Caenorhabditis elegans: one gene and its partners. The protein of the gene in region 1 interacts with the protein of each later gene in a pairwise test. Each region holds a gene or a part of one and is shown in the gene's direction. Other genes may lie near its edges. The genes, in order: nmy-2, unc-45 and itr-1.

Region 1 (5,569 bases):
CCGTCTTCATCGGGATAGAAAACGTCACAAGTGCAGAATTTCCCGTTGTAGTTATGATTGTACATATTATACTCGTTTTTCGCATCTTTATCCTCATAGAGAGCACATTTCTTCTCGCCGAATTTTGAATTTCCACAATCGCACTTGAACTTTCTTTTTGTGTACAATTCTACAATGATGTGCCCGTCGTGGCAATTTAAAGCGCATCCATAACAAACTCCAGCCATCTCTGGAGCAGGTGTGCATGTGAGACATGTGAATAATGTTTGACGAGGTTTGTAGCCTTCTGCATAAGTGCAAACGTTTGGATTTTGGGTTGCGAACAATACATCGGCTTTGTCTTCCAAATAATCGATGGTTTCCACGATTTCACCAAGGGTGACTGCCTCCTCTGAAAGAAAAAAATGCAATGTTTAAATAATTATTCATTTATTTTTATTAAAATAAATCAAATTTATATTATTGACTCAGTTCTGGCTTTAAAGCAAATCTTTTTTTCGAACGATGTTCAGCATTTTATTTACTCAATCTACCTTCTTCTCCACAAAGAACAGGAGCAATCGATGGTGTTTCTTCCTTTTTATCGTCCATATCTGAAATTTGAAAAAAAAGTGAGTTATTTTTTTCGTTGAATGCAGGAAAATTAATTGAGGCTTCAATATTAAAGCACGAGTTCTTACGGCCGCAAGGTGGCGTAATGGTGTACAATTCAAATATGTTTGGTGCACCCTCACGTAAAAATGCAGACTGTGTCCAGCGACAGCGAGACCCGAAGAACTCGGGGGATGTCCAACTGGGGGGATTACCAACTCGGGGGATTGGCCCCGCCCACAGAACCGTGGCTTGCAATACGCCCATTTCTGCAACTGCCGCACGGTTTTAAAACTGTATTTTTATCAATAGAGCGAGGATTAACAAGAAAAAATGATTTTAAAACCGTGCGGCATTTGCAGAAATGGGCGTATTGCAAGCCACGGTTCTGTGGGCGGGGCCAATCCCCCGAGTTGGTAATCCCCCCAGTTGAACATCCCCCGAGTTCTTCGGGTCTCGCGACAGCCGAGGGCGCCAGTTTCAAATCATCCTCGCGCACCATTTCTACTATTTTTGGCGCCAAACCCAATACAAATGCCGCGGCGTCACCACGAAAAGATTCCTGTTCTGTTTTCTGAATCACCATTCATGTCGGTAACTTGTGACAAGTTGAGAGAGCCAATTCGTGTCCTATCCCGTCCGTTTATTCTTCATTCTCGGCGCGCACGCTTGGCCTGAATGGGTATTCGTTTGCATTTCGTTTTGACCCTTGTTTCCCTCGGCGCATCTTCCTTTACCTCACACCAAAATATTGCGAAATTCACCGAACGGTTCGTACATTACCAAAAGTGGATGGTTCCCACGGAACTAGCGCTTCCCATCGTATTATCAATGCAATGGCGGAATGGAGAACGCCAGTTAAAAAAGAGGGTCAGCGGTAGAGGGAAGACAGCTGGAAAATCGGCACAGCTGCGCTTCCATTATCGTCCTTTTGTGGGAAGTATTTGATATACGAAAGGCTTCTCACTAACAGATTTTTGAGAAAAAGATTGTTTTATTTCACTTTTGAATTATAAGTCGCGTGCCATCGTGGCCTCTGAGAAATTGACCCTTTCTTTAAACTAGTTTTAAAAATAATCAATAAAAGCGTAGGCTGGGCAAAAACAAGAGGTATGTTGCTTTATCTGTTGACGCTGATAATTGATGTGGGCGGAAATCGAAATTTCGATGGTGTGTGAACCCTATTCTCAATCTTTGTGCTCACTTTTTTCGTTTCATTTTACTGTTTCCAATAGTCAACCTTGGTGAATCGCACTGCGAATTCGTGTTCATAATCGAATTACGAATTTAATTGCGTAACGTTTTTGAATAGTCTTATGGAATGCCTTTCCTGAAATACTTTTCTCTTTCCTTTTTTGAGGGATAATGCTGACACCTGAGCCTATGCATATTATCAAACCCGTTTTTGAGAACTAGCTTCCACGACTCATTTTTCTTCGCGTGAATGCCATGACCTTATTGTTTTTCTTCTTACCACATACTTATTTTATCAAACAGCGTGTCCCTAAATTTGTAGAACTCTGTAGCCGTAGCAACAAGTGGATTTGAAAATTTGACGTCTAAAAAATTTTATGTTGAAAATATTTTCGGGACGTCGTGTATCAAAAACGCGTTTTGCCACAGTTACCAGAGGTCAGGTCAGATGGGACAAGCAGATTACCCGCCTTTTATTCCATTTAACTTTTCAGCTAATTGATTACAACAACAGCTCCAGCGGTAATAATGACATCATCTCGACAAAAAGATGATGAGATTGACCAATTGAGAGTATGTTTCTTCAAATATTTTTATAGTTATAGCTTTATTTCTAATTTTCAGGCCAAGACAGACTTCCTCAATCCATCGATTTCGGCAGATTGGGCGAAAAAAAAGTTGATGTGGGTACCCAGTGAGAAGGATGGATTCGCACTTGGAGCTGTCATCGGGGAACCACATGCAGACGGAACTATCGACATTGAGCTTATGGAGACTGGCGAACGGCAGCGTGTTTCGTCTGATGATTGCCAGAAGCCAAATCCTCCGAAATATGACAAATGCGAGGATATGTCAATGCTGACGTGTCTGAATGAAGCGTCGGTTCTTCATAATCTAAAGCAACGATATTTCTCGAATCTCTACTACGTAAGTTTGTCGATAGCTAACAATTCTTCATTGAATATAAATATTCTCGTCAAGCTGGTTGTCGTCTTTTGGCGTTTACATAAGCCTAAGATGCGGTTTCTTTCGTAGCAATTCTTTGTGGCGATTTAACCCCCTAACTCAGAGGAACCAGCTCAAATTATAGAATAAGTTTCAAAGTAGAAATTTTGTAAATGGACCGGCTTCTGCCATTCCCGGAGATTTTCCTATATTGAACCTTGCTGTGACCTTTATCTCTAAGAAGGAATACAGTTATTTCTGTAGTTTGATAATCTTTTTATCAGGTGAGATATAAAATATGCAGAACGTCTCAACCGGTCGTTGGTTTTTAATAATCAAGAGATCCTGATGACCTTTGCAACATTTCAAATATTTATTTAAGGCAAAAACTTATACATTTATATAAATATCAATCGAATTATTTTCAGACATACTCTGGCTTGTTCTGCGTTGTAATAAATCCATACAAACGAATTCCAATCTACACGGATACAATTGCTGAACAGTTCAAATGCAAAAAGAGAAAGGAGATGCCACCACACATATTTGCTGTTGCCGATGAAGCCTACCGCAGCATGCTTCAAGAACGAGATGATCAGTCAATTCTCTGCACGTTAGTTAATATACGAGTTTATATTATCCTGAAATGTGTTGTTTTTTTCAGTGGAGAATCGGGAGCTGGAAAGACTGAAAATACAAAGAAAGTGATTCAGTATTTGGCTTATGTGGCAAATCGGTCGATGGTGAAGAATCGGAAGACTTCCGTTGATCTGGACACATCTACAAACCGGATCATGGGCCAGCTTGAGGAACAGCTTTTGCAAGCAAATCCCATACTCGAGGCTTTCGGAAACAGTAAGACAGTGAAGAACGATAATTCCAGTAGATTTGTGAGTGATCATAACTTTTTAAATGCACGCATCGTTAAATTTTTTAGGGAAAGTTCATTCGCGTTCATTTCGACAGCACAGGGTGCATTTCTGGAGCGAATATTGAATTTTATCTTCTGGAGAAATCTCGCGTGCTGAAACAAGCTCCCAATGAGCGATCGTTCCACATTTTCTACCAGTTGCTGAAAGGACTCTCAAAAGTACAGAGAGGTGAGATTAAATGTTTCTACAATACCGTAACTCGTTTATTTTCAGAACATTATCTCCTAGAAGACAGCCTATCCAAGTACAAGTTTGTCTCAAATGGTGACAGTAAATTGGCTGGAGTTGATGATGGAGCAGAGATGAAGGAAACACTGAATGCCATGTCAATTATGGGATTGAACGACGAAGAGATTGGAGGAATACTTAGAGTTGTCTCGGCAGTTATGCTCTTTGGAAATCTTGAATTTTCTCACGAAAACAAGAATAACGATCAGGCTGTTCTGCTCAATGACGCTGTTGCTCAAAAAATCGCTTCACTTCTCGGAGTCAATGTTACCGAATTGATGCGTGCATTCTTGAAGCCAAAAATCAAGGTTCAAAGGGATTTGGTCCATCGAGCTCAAAGCGTAGACCAAGTCAATTTCTCTGTGGGAGCCATTGCGAAGGCCTCGTATGAGCGACTCTTCAGATGGTTGGTTCATCGCCTCAACAAATCTCTCGATCGGACCCGTCAACAATCTGTCAGCTTTATCGGAATTCTTGATATTGCTGGTTTTGAAATTTTTGAAACAAACTCATTCGAGCAGCTATGTATCAACTACACTAACGAGAAACTTCAACAACTCTTCAACAATACAATGTTCGTTCGTGAACAGCAAGAATATCTTGATGAAGGATTGGAGTGGAAGTTCTTGGATTTCGGCCTCAATCTTCAACCGACTATTGACTTGATTGATAAGCCTATGGGAATCATGTCAACTCTTGATGATGTTTGTCTATTCCCACAAGGAAATGATCAATCATTTGTTCAACGCCTCAATAACACTCATTCTCAACATCCGAAGTACGTCGTTCCAGAGATTCGCTCACGAAGCGATTTTGCCGTTGTTCATTATGCGGGCCGAGTCGACTATCAATCTGAAGGTTGGCGCGTGAAAAACATGGATCCATTGAATGAGAATGTGATTGATGTGCTCAAAACTTCAAAGGAATCTCTTATTGTCGACATGTGGAAAGATATCGCTGATGTTTGCAGTTTGTCAGCTGCTGACAGTACTTCAGATACCGGAGTATTTGGATCTCGTGTTCCAAAGAAGGGAATGTTCCGTACTGTTTCTCAACTTTACAAAGAACAATTGGCTCGTCTTATGAGTACTCTCAATAACACCAATCCTCACTTTGTTCGCTGCATCATTCCAAATCACGAAAAGAAACATGGAGTTCTCAACGCTCATCTTGTTCTTGATCAATTAAGATGCAACGGAGTGTTGGAAGGAATTCGTATATGCCGTCAAGGATTCCCTACGCGGCTCCCGTTCCAAGAATTCCGTCAACGCTACGAGAAACTTCTTGCCCCTGATGTCAACCCAGCTGGATTCATGGACGGTAAAAACGCCGTTTATCGTATTGTTCAATATCTGGAAGTTGACGCCAACCTCTTCCGTATTGGTCAATCTAAGATCTTCTTCCGTTCTGGAGTTATAGCTGAGTTTGAGGAGATGCGTGATCAGAAGCTTTCCGCTCTTATTGAATCTTTCCAAGCTCAATGTCGTGGATGGCTAGGACGCCGAGTGATGGTACGCAGACGAGAACAAGAAGTTGCTATCAAAATTCTTCAAAGAAATGGTTTGGCATGGATGAGACTGCGTGAATGGCAATGGTGGAGACTTCTGACCAAAGTGAAGCCACTTCTCGAAGTTACCAACAAAGACGAATTAATTGCTGAGCGAGAACAAGAACTGAAA
Region 2 (5,515 bases), on another chromosome or scaffold:
ATTGGCGGGAAATTCGAATTTCTATTTAAAAAGTTTACAATATGCTAAAAATCTAGACAAACTTTAACTTTTCATATAAATTTGGCGGGAAACTCGAATTTAAATTTTTTTTTTTCAAAATATTTAAACAATTTTTTTTTTCTATTTAGAAGTTCAAATATGAGTTATTTGAAATTTCTTTTTTCTAAAAATTTTGCACGAAATTCAAATTCATGGAGTTCGCTCTGGTTCAGTGGCTGGTCTTCTAATGAATTATGTTTGTTTTTTCGAACATCGAAAGGAAATAAGCGGGACTCATTTCATTGCTTCCTCCTTCATTGCTTCCTCCTTTTCTCCCTTTCGAATTGTACTACGAGACCCCCTTTGTGCATTATTATTTTACCCCCATTTTCCACCCCAAGACAGTCTCAAGTTATAGGAAATCTTCACATGATTTGCTCACAGTGCATGCACACAAAAAGTTATAAGATCTGAAGAGAGACGCAGACAGATTATTCAAACAGCAAGGGCTCCCACCACCGGAGAGGATCTGCGGATTCCGCCGTAATTTTACACTATCCGTCGGGGGCCGGACACTACTACACTGCCCTTTCCGCTGAACAGACGTTTCTATTCGTTTTTCATCGATTTTTGCATAAAGTTCGGGTTTAGTGGGTTTAGTAAACCTAAGAATTTCTAGGTTTTTTATGAATTTTAGGTCCTTTTTTTGAATTTATATAATTTATTTTAATGTAAATACTATGAAATTTTTATTTTGATTTTTTCCGAAAAAAAAATATCAAAAATTCCAGAAATATTTCAGCCGACCCATAGCCGCCGGGTATAGCACTAGAGCCTCACGGCAGTACATATTTATTTAGAAACTCTAGTATTCCACGTGAAAAAATATATTTAAATATACCAGAAATTTTGAAGGAGTTGACGACTACAGTACTCCTTAAAGGCACACGTTTTTCTGATTTCAAGAAAATTTATCGGTTCGTGCCGTAGTTTTTGAGAAATCCGAGTGCCGTAGTTTTTGAGAAAAAATTTTCCTTGTGGTTGCCCATATAATTATTTTCATGACGAAAATCTGAAACGATGTTTTATGGGTCTGCTAAATATTTATCATACCCAACTTTGGTCTGCTAAATATTTAGCATACCCAACTTTGGTCTGCTAAATATTTAGCATACCCAACTTTGGTCTGCTAAATATTTAGCAGACCCATTTGGGATATTGAGTTTATCCTGAAATGATGATTTCCTTTGTTTAAATCCACTCAAATTCCGTTTTTTCTCTGAAATCCTCTAATCCCCTGAAAAAAACCTAAAAATATATTTTTTTTACTATATAAATTCGGATTTTTCCAGAAACCCCACATATTTTCGACTTTTCCCGAACTTTTCCCACTCGTTATCTCTATTTCTCTTCTATTCCCTAGGATATCTCTCCCGCCTGGGAGCTTTTCGAAAGCTCCAGAGCACCTGGGCGGAGCTCCCGCGGCAACTGGATTTTTTACCGTTATTCTTCATTCATTTTTCCAGGACATTAACAAATTTTCTTGCAGTGAAAATTTTTATTTCAAAAAAAAAGAAAAGAAAGTCAATTTTAGGATGTTATACATCTCCAAAATTCGTTAGTTTTAGCTTTAAAATCAAAGTTTTCATAAAAATTAAATTTGAAATCCCTCCAAAAAATAGTCTGCGCTTCACACTCTCTAACACGTGCCGGTGGAGCGCGCTTGCATTTTTCCTTTTTTGTTAATTTTTTTTTGCGGGAAACTTTTCGGGAAAATTACTCTAAAACTCAATAAAAACAGCTTTTAAGTGCATTTTTCTTGAAAATTAGTTTCAAAAATGATATTTTAATCAGTTTTACACCATTTTTGTCGATTTTTCCTCTTTTATCCGTCGAATTAATAGTATCTCCTGACAAAAATAATGATTTTATAGTTTTTTTTTTTTGGTTTTCAGCAATGGTTGCTCGAGTACAGACTGCGGAGGAGATCCGCGACGAGGGAAATGCTGCAGTTAAGGATCAGGATTATATAAAAGCTGATGAATTGTTGGTTTTTCTGAAATTTCAGTGGAAAACTGAAATTAAACTGATTTCCAGATACACTGAAGCTCTCCAACTCACCACTGACGAAGACAAGGCTCTTCGGCCGGTTTTGTACAGAAATCGAGCAATGGCTCGGCTGAAAAGAGACGATTTTGAAGGAGCACAATCGGATTGCACGAAAGGTTTACAAAAAACCTGGAAAATTTGCTGAAAAACCTAAATTTACAGCTCTGGAATTCGACGGGGCCGATGTAAAAGCTCTCTTCAGACGATCGCTGGCTCGTGAACAGCTTGGAAATGTTGGGCCAGCTTTTCAAGACGCAAAAGAGGCTCTGAGGCTCTCGCCAAATGATAAGTGCGTGGAAAAACTAGGCGAAAACCGATGAAAATTAAAAGAAAAATAATTTTTTCTGGCACTTTCCAGTTATATTTCAAAGTTTTTATGACCAAATTTCAGTGAAAAATGCAAAAGTTGCAAATTTTGGGTCTGCTAAATATTTAGCAGACCCAACCTCCCGAAACTGATTTTTAAAGCTAAAAATTATTAGAATTTTCAGACGTTTCTCTCCGAAATATAGCATGCCAATAGAAAAATTGACAAAAATCAAGGTTTTCTCATCGAAAATAGCAAAATAACTTTTAAAAATCTACAGAAACTCACAATTTTTGTTTAAAATGCCAACATTTATAAATTTTCTAAATATTTAGTTTTAAATTTGTAATTTTCTCACTTTTTTCTGTGAAAAAATATGCAAAATGAAACTGAAAAATCCACTAAAACATGTTTAAAAATTTATCTTGAAGAAAAACGTAGGAAATTTCAAATTTGCAGCTAAAAAATCAGCGAAAAAATTTTTTTTTCAAAATTTGAGGAGGTTGGGTATGCTAAATATTTAGCAGACCCAAGGAAAAATATTTAGCAGACCAAAGATAGGTATGCTAAATACTTAGCAGACCAAAGATAGGTATGCTAAATATTTAGCAGACCAAAGAAGGGTATGCTAAATATTTAGCAGACCCAAGGTGGGTATGCTAAATATTTAGCAGACCCAAGGAAAAATATTTAGCAGACCAAAGATAGGTATGCTAAATATTTAGCAGACCAAAGATGGATATGCTAAATATTTAGCAGACCAAAGATGGGTATGCTAAATAATTAGCAGACCAAAGATGGGTATGCTAAATAATTAGCAGACCCAAAGAAAAATATTTAGCAGACCAAAGTTGGGTATGCTAAATAATTAGCAGACCAAAGTTGGGTATGCTAAATATTTAGCAGACCAAAGTTGGGTATGCTAAATATTTAGCAGACCAAAGATGGGTATGCTAAATAATTAGCAGACCAAAGTTGGGTATGCTAAATATTTAGCAGACCCAAGGAAAAATATTTAGCAGACCAAAGATGGGTATGCTAAATATTTAGCAGACCCAAGGAAAAATATTTAGCAGACCAAAGATAGGTATGCTAAACATTTAGCAGACCCAAGGAAAAATATTTAGCAGACCAAAGATAGGTATGCTAAATATTTAGCAGACCAAAGATGGATATGCTAAATATTTAGCAGACCAAAGATGGGTATGCTAAATAATTAGCAGACCCAAAGAAAAATATTTAGCAGACCAAAGATAGGTATGCTAAATATTTAGCAGACCAAAGATGGATATGCTAAATATTTAGCAGACCAAAGATGGGTATGCTAAATAATTAGCAGACCAAAGTTGGGTATGCTAAATATTTAGCAGACCCAAAGAAAAATATTTAGCAGACCAAAGATAGGTATGCTAAATATTTAGCAGACCAAAGATGGGTATGCTAAATATTTAGCAGACCAAAGTTGGGTATGCTAAATATTTAGCAGACCCAAGATTTTCTCACAATTCCACTTTTAAGCACTTAAAAATTCAATAATTTCACTCAAATTTCTATTTTTCAGAGGAATTGTTGAAGTTCTTCAGCGTCTCGTAAAAGCCAACAATGATAAGATTAAGCAGACCACTTCACTGGCTAATAAGGTTGGTTTTGTGACCTGAAACCACGAATTTTAAATGAATTTTCATTGAAAAACCCCGAAATTTTCTCAGGTAACTGACATGGAAAAGCTAGCGTTCCGTGGTGAGGCGAAGGACACCGAACAGAAAATGACTGCGTTGAACAACTTGTTGGTTTTGTGCAGAGAATCTGAATCCGGAGCAACAGGAGTTTGGAATCAGGTATAGTTTTGGAAGCTGGACGAAAAATCTACATTTACTGGGAAAATTTAATGGAACTTAAAAAAAAATTTAAAAAATGGAAATAAATTGAAAAATATACCGTATATTTGAAAAAAAAATGCAAAAAAAAACTGAATTTTCTAGATTTTCAGAGCAATTTTCAGATTGTTTTTCGAAAAATTTTGCAGTTTTTATCTAAATTTTTCCGATATTCCTTAAATTTAATTGTCGAAAGTTCAATTTTAATTTTTTTAAAGAAATTTTTTTAAACTGAAAATTGTAATTTTTTGTAGATTTTTAAAATTTATTTTGCTACAACGAGAAAACCTTAATTTTTGCCAATTTTCCGATTTTGTAGAAACATTTGAAAATTCAACTTTTTAGCTTTTAAAAAATCAGTTTAAAAAAAATTATTTTTCAAAATTTTAATTTTATCAAAGTATCCCGAATTTGAATATTTTCCTGCAAAAATACCCAAAAAAAAAATTCTAATTTTTCCATATTTCCAGGGCGCACTTGTTCCATTCGTCCTGAACCTAATCAACGACGCATCGGAAAACGAGGAGGTTACCGTAACCGCAATCCGAATTCTCGACGAGACCATCAAAAATAGCGTCAGATGCATGAAATTCCTAGCTATGCACGACCCAGATGGCCCAAAATCCGTCCGTTTTGTGTGCCGGCTAATGTGCAAAAAATCCACAAAAGACTTTGTGGATGCCACTGGAATTCTGGTGCAACGTGTCTTCAATGCAATGGCTAAAATGGATCGGCAAAAGGAGATGAAGCCGGATCCAGAGGTGGCAGAAGCCAATAAAATCTGGATAATTCGTGTGCTCTTGGAGCTTCAAGAGATGCTTCAGGACCCGAAAGTTGGTGCAGTTCAGCGTGAGACGTGCATCGATTTATTCCTGAAAAATCTGATGCACATGGACGGTGGAATTCCACGTGGATGGTCGTGGAAGTTTGTGGAAGAACGTGGATTGCTCGCGTTGCTTGACGTGGCAAGTCAGATACCCGAACTGTGTGAATATCCGGTTTCTGCGGAGACTCGGCAACACGTGGCAATTTGTTTGCAGAGATTAGAGGAGGATATGGTTTTTGATACGAAACGGACTATTTTTAAGGAGAAAGTCGATATGTTCTTTAAGTACGGAACAAGGAAATCGGAAAAAAAACGTTTTTTGATTCGAAAAACTTAATAATTGTTAGATTTTTGAACTGGAAAAAGCAACAAAAAAAAATTAATTCGAAAAACGTT
Region 3 (5,708 bases), on another chromosome or scaffold:
AGAATATCTTTCAAATATCCAAAAGGGCATAATAAATTACAACTGGTTGGACGGAAAGGACATACATTTGGTACACTTGCCGGTAAAAGGTCTATAGAAGACGACAAAAATGGTTTCAGAATTAAAAGATACAGTAACCACATAATTGCTCATTTGACATCCGGAAGTGATAAGAATAAAAGATGTGATGGTCAATTTAGGATAGTAAAAGATGACAGGTGGATTGAGGGAAAAGAGACAGGTTACTTCTGTTGAGTGGACACATTGCAACCCCCGGCCACCACCGCCACGGACACGCCGCCCACTTTTGCGGTGTGAGGTGCGAAACTGTCTTCCGACAGATTTGTAAATATTACGAGGAAGTTGATGTAATACGGAAGAGGTCCACTGGATTTATGTGAATGAAGAATCAAAAGATTGTAAAATGTTTAGATATGATGAGCTACAGGGTCAAAGGTGATTTGATACACGATTTTCGAGCAGAAATGCTGACTTTTCGAAATCTCATTGTTGTTTAATCAATCACGGGATGTACGAAAGGGATCTTGGTTTTGGATTTTTGAAAATCAAAATATTACAGGAAAATATAATGCAAAACTAGTACAGACTGTGAAAATGTTTCTAACCTTGATTTCTGCTCCGTCCAACTGTGAAATTACATTGTGTGTCAATTTCAAAAACGGTACGTGATTTTTTAGTTCTGGTTTTTAAGTGAACTTTATGTATATGAGCTCTGAAAACAGGAAAATAAGGGAAAATTAATAAGGTAGTCAGAATGAAATATTGCAATTCGAACATAAGCATTTAGTTTGAAACAACCCGTATTTCCCTTATTAGTTTTGTAGCTTCTAGTTTGTCATGCACTGATTTTCCGACAGACCGGCTATACTCTGTGGGAATTTCCGCAAAAATTAAATTTAAAATTAATAGATGAGATGTGGTATGTAGTTTTAAAAAAGTCGATGGATTCAGAAAATGCTCAGAAAAATCCGCGCATTAATTTCCAAAACTATCACATTTCAGAAAAGTATCAAACATCATATTTTTGGAGTCCAATACTACTTCTTCATTTCTTTTTTTTTTTTCTTTTCCACTAGTTTTACAATAAAATATATTGTTTTGTCCTAATGAAGCACATTTCATTTTGTAATGTTTTTTAACTTTCTACTGTAGGATATTCTATTCCGTAATCGTACAAATCTTCTTTCTCTCCCAAATTTAGGCTGCGCCCTGTTTCAAAGCTCTGCTAATAGTACGCAAAACAAATGTATTCGCTAACTCTTTCGCTCATTTCGGTATAAGTGTCACTTGGAGATCTCTTCGTCTCTCGCAACCCGTATTTGTATTGTTTATCTTCCAAAATGGTAGTCGACTGCTCATATGAATTGAATTACTAGCGGGATATGAAAGAGACATGAGATTTATAAAAAGTAACTGAATATTTCAACTTTTGAAATTGAACTTGTATCATTTTCGAAACTAAAATGGAAAAACAGGAACGATATTACTTCATTTTTCCACTTAAAGATGGAGTAGCAAAATTTGGGTGATTGTTTTTAGAATCAAAATTGATCCTAAATACCTATTGAGACAACTTGAAAATGTCTCAAAAATTATTGTATTAGGTTAGTCATTCTCTAAAAGAAAACGGGCAACCCTTCAAGTATTAAATCATTTTGAGCTTGAAAAGAGAGAACATTGTTCATTAAAATTCATGTTTGGGCTCCTAAATCTACAAAAAATATCACATTTATATTTTCGGCAATTCTGATTTCCTGTAATCGACAATTTCAGCGATTGCCGAAATCGTCGAAAAGTCGATTACCGAACGGCAATTGCTGCATGCTATGTATCACACCGTTTCAGCGTTGTGTATCGTATTTGTTCAAAGATAATTTTCTTGTAAATCTCGATGTTATTGACTACTGCAGCTAATACATTTGAATTCCCATTAATTCCTTTAATTTGATAAGTGTGACTTGGTTCCCGTTGCCCACCATCTTTTGTTCCTTTCCTCCTATCTTCAAATCAAACGCATCTGGAATCTATTTTTTTCATTGTTGTCTGTCTACCGATGCCAACGATCTGACCTTTCTTAATTGGTATTCGCGCTCATTTTGACATTGTGTCAACTTCAACTATTTGCGCGGGTTTACCTGCAAAAAAGTAAACAAGAAAAATGGAGATGAAATGAAAGAATTTCCAATAGAAATTTGTTGTTGAAAACTCTCTGAACCATGAGACCGTCCAAGACGTTAACATCAAATCTTTTCAATTCAGAAACGTTTCCTCTTTTTCTCCTTTTGTGACACGTTTCCTCCGTTCTTTTTTGGAGAGTCACTATATTTTTAATACGATTTTGCTTTACAATTTCTTTTTTAAACTTTTATTGATTTTGTGCTTCTTATTTTCCATTTTTCATAAAAAGTATTCCAGAATGAATCCATCATATGGCCGGGTTCGTAAGAAAGTATCCATTATATCTATTCCAGAGTTCGTTCCCGAGCATTATGAATGTAAGTTTTTACATTAAAAAAAAACTTCTAAAATCTGCTTCAATTAACGATCTTATTTTTTTTCAAATTTTCACCGATAAACTTAAATCTAATTGATACGGTTAGCATTGATGAAATCACTGAAAAATGTACAGGAAACTCAGAACTTTCTCAGTTTCAATGTTTCTTTTTAACCTTAAAGGTTGAGTAGCGAACTATATTTATTGTTCTCAAAATTCAAAACCAACGTCTAAATAGTCTCAAATTGAGCCTAACTTATTTGGCCAACGCCCCAGAAAAAAAACCAACAAGAAACACTTAATAAAACCACCAAAATGTGTAAAATGGAAGTTAAAATTACCGGGCGCCATTTCACAGGATATGTTTTGTTATTGTTCGTGTTAAAAGTTGGTCCATAAAGTAGATTTGAATATAAAGCCAAACTTTTGAGAACCGGTTTTGATTTTGACTATGATGAAAGAGTTTTGAATTAAAAATATTTAAAAAAAAAACACTTTTTTTCAATTCTTCTAGAAAAAGTGCATTTATTGACTCACCGTTAGAGCATATCGATAAAACAATAGACAAATACAATCATATGGGACATCAACCAGCAAAACACTTTAAAACACATTTTTGTTCCCGGAGGTCTCTATTTTTTCTTGTCTTTCAAAAGAAAAGGGGCACCTGTAAGCGGCTTACGTACCGTCTTGGTTGTCTATTGATGTATGTGAGGCATATACATCTATTTCATGAATGTTTCAACAAACAAAATATATACCGATTGTTGTGTCTCTTTCTCTAATATTTTCCTGGTAAACGATATGCATAAATTTCTGTTTCTCTTTCCTCTTTCCACACATCTGTTCGTATTATTTTACAAAATGAACTTACAGATGTTTTTTTGTTGTCTCGTTGGCATCGTAACTAATCGAAAATGATTGATGTTCGAACACGAATATCATTATATTTATTGTCGTCTTCATCTTTTTGTCGAATAGTTTGTATCGTTGATTTCTAACATTAGACGTCATCGAATCGTTCATCAAATTGTCGACCTGATCAATTTCTTTTTCTCTCTATTTCTCTTTACACAACTTCAATCTCTGAACTGTAAATTCCAAATTCGATTAAAAAGGCTAGAGAGTTTGATCGTTCTGGTTTGTGACTGAATTATTTGATGAAAGATCTAGTACGATTAATATGTTCATTATCAAAAGCTAGATGATCATTATTTGCCATTTTAATTCAAAAGAGGAATGATCCAGAGACAATGCATGAAGGAAATGATAATTAACTTGAAAATTATTTGGTATAAACGCCTTAACAGGTTGTGAAAAATTTAGGAAAATACCGAAATCGACAATCATAATAAAACACTCCACAATTTTTGATTTGGTGAAATTTTGTAAATTGTAGATTTTTCAGAAAGTTTGGACTTTTTGAGTAATTTCGAGCATTGCTACAGATGTGAACCTCTAGAATATTTGAATAAAAATAATTTCAATTTTCATGAAATTCAAAATTTTATAAAAATTGTTAACAATTGCCGACTTCCAAAATAGGTGAAAAAATTAAGTAATTGTCACTGTTTCACTGTAAGTAAAAAACTTTGATAATTTTTTACAAAGCTCTGCTAACTATAAGATATCCGGTAATTTCAATATTATTGGGCTGATTTGAAACAACTTCCTCACTGGCGATACTTTTCATTTAACTGAGTATTAAAAAGCATGAGCAAGTTGCCAACCAACTTTTAAATAAAACATATTCCCGTTCCGTGTATATGTTTTTATATTGCCGTTTCTATTCAGTTTTTTGCTTTCCTTTTTTCCAACATTTTGCTCATAAAACAACGTGCTTCACAGCTGTGATTCGTTGCATAATCGTCTTCAGCTTCTCGCTCATAAAACCAAAATGTTTTAGATGTTTAGTTGTCACTTCATGGTTTTTTTTGTTTTTTTAAATAGCTTTTTTGAGTTCAAATCCTTGCATGTTTCTGAAAATTTACACGCTAACTAACCTATCACTCCTTATTTCAAAATTAAAAACAACTTCCTTAAAAAAATTAAAAACCGTGTCAAATGTGATTTGTGTAAAAGAGTGTGGTGTAGAAGTGACACAGATCGTTAAACTTTTATAGTCCTTTTGCTTTGAGCGTACCGTGCCGTCGATCATCCGATGTGAAGAAATTGTCTAAAAAATGACAAGAAAATGAGAAAATGTTTAGTTTTGCACAATTTTCAGACGAAAACGAAACGACGGCCAGTGGAGGTGCTAGTGGTGGTGGAAGCACACGAATTGAATTTGATTTTGATGATTTTGAGGAACAAATTATGAGGAAATCCAGGTTAGTTTGTATTCTTGAAAAATCGTATTATTCGAAGAATAAATTGAGTGTCATTTGGCTGTTTTGTTACAAATCCTGTTTTACTGTTATCAAAAAAAAAACAATTGAAAAAACAACGTGAATGGCGAGAATATTCCTGTATCAACAAGAAAAAAGAGCCTTTTCAAATTTGTTTGAAAAAGAAGAAACGCTGCTCATTCTCAAGTACTTTGTATATCGAGATGGTCTCCTGGTATCGGTATCACTTTGGAAAAAAGTACAAGGTCGCCGATATAAAAAGGGTGTAATGATCATTTATTTGAGGTATTTTTGATTGGAAAAAATTTTGGTAAACTATTCTCGAGTTATTTTTTTTCTCAAATCATATGTGCTTCTATTTTTGAATTAACTTGGAGATTCGAATAAATCAGTGAACTATTGCAAGCAATACTAACTTCCAATTAAATGTTGAAGTAATATGTATCAATTTTGAATAATAAAAATGCATGTGAACCTGATGAATTTGATTTAAATCTAAAGTTAATGATACGTATTCTTATAACCGATTTATAGTAAATCCTGGCATATCCAGATTCCAAGGTGTATCTCTTTTGAAGGGGAAGTAACAGTTTTGAGTTGTTGCTTGAATAGACTCAAGATTTTCTCAAAATACTGAAAATCACAACGAGAAATCTCGGAAAATTTTATGGCGTTCAAAATTATTTTTTGGTGCAGTCGCACAATTTGATAACCACCTCTAAATAAAAAAATCCCTATAAATTTTAAAATTTATTTTAAATTTTAAATTTTACGTAAATTTTCTGATGAAGTACTTATCGCAATTTGTGTTCCCATACTCCTTTTTTCCAGACAATGGCAAAACT

Evidence for each region.
Region 2: the proteins of nmy-2 (region 1) and unc-45 interact in a two-hybrid assay, tested with the Caenorhabditis elegans proteins (one study listed by BioGRID).
Region 3: the proteins of nmy-2 (region 1) and itr-1 interact in a two-hybrid assay, tested with the Caenorhabditis elegans proteins (one study listed by BioGRID).

Annotation. Positions count from the first base shown.
Region 1 is NC_003279.8:7,931,288-7,936,856, reverse strand, and holds the start of nmy-2 (Myosin-11), read left to right. Parts: upstream 1-2,279; 5' UTR 2,280-2,313; coding exon 2,314-2,358; intron 2,359-2,409; coding exon 2,410-2,712; intron 2,713-3,158; coding exon 3,159-3,343; intron 3,344-3,394; coding exon 3,395-3,620; intron 3,621-3,667; coding exon 3,668-3,830; intron 3,831-3,875; coding exon 3,876-5,569. Other genes in the region: T22C1.1 (UBR-type domain-containing protein), read right to left, coding at 1-391, 534-591.
Region 2 is NC_003281.10:489,592-495,106, forward strand, and holds the start of unc-45 (UNC-45/Cro1/She4 central domain-containing protein), read left to right. Parts: upstream 1-1,955; 5' UTR 1,956-1,957; coding exon 1,958-2,046; intron 2,047-2,097; coding exon 2,098-2,225; intron 2,226-2,271; coding exon 2,272-2,398; intron 2,399-2,815; exon of another isoform or gene 2,816-3,244; intron 3,245-3,977; coding exon 3,978-4,056; intron 4,057-4,125; coding exon 4,126-4,254; intron 4,255-4,763; coding exon 4,764-5,404; intron 5,405-5,515.
Region 3 is NC_003282.8:7,672,737-7,678,444, forward strand, and holds the start of itr-1 (Inositol 1,4,5-trisphosphate receptor itr-1), read left to right. Parts: upstream 1-2,437; coding exon 2,438-2,516; intron 2,517-3,795; exon of another isoform or gene 3,796-3,945; intron 3,946-4,742; coding exon 4,743-4,845; intron 4,846-5,708. Other genes in the region: C08G9.2 (uncharacterized protein), read right to left, coding at 1-143. UniProt on the Caenorhabditis elegans protein: Receptor for inositol 1,4,5-trisphosphate, a second messenger that regulates intracellular calcium homeostasis.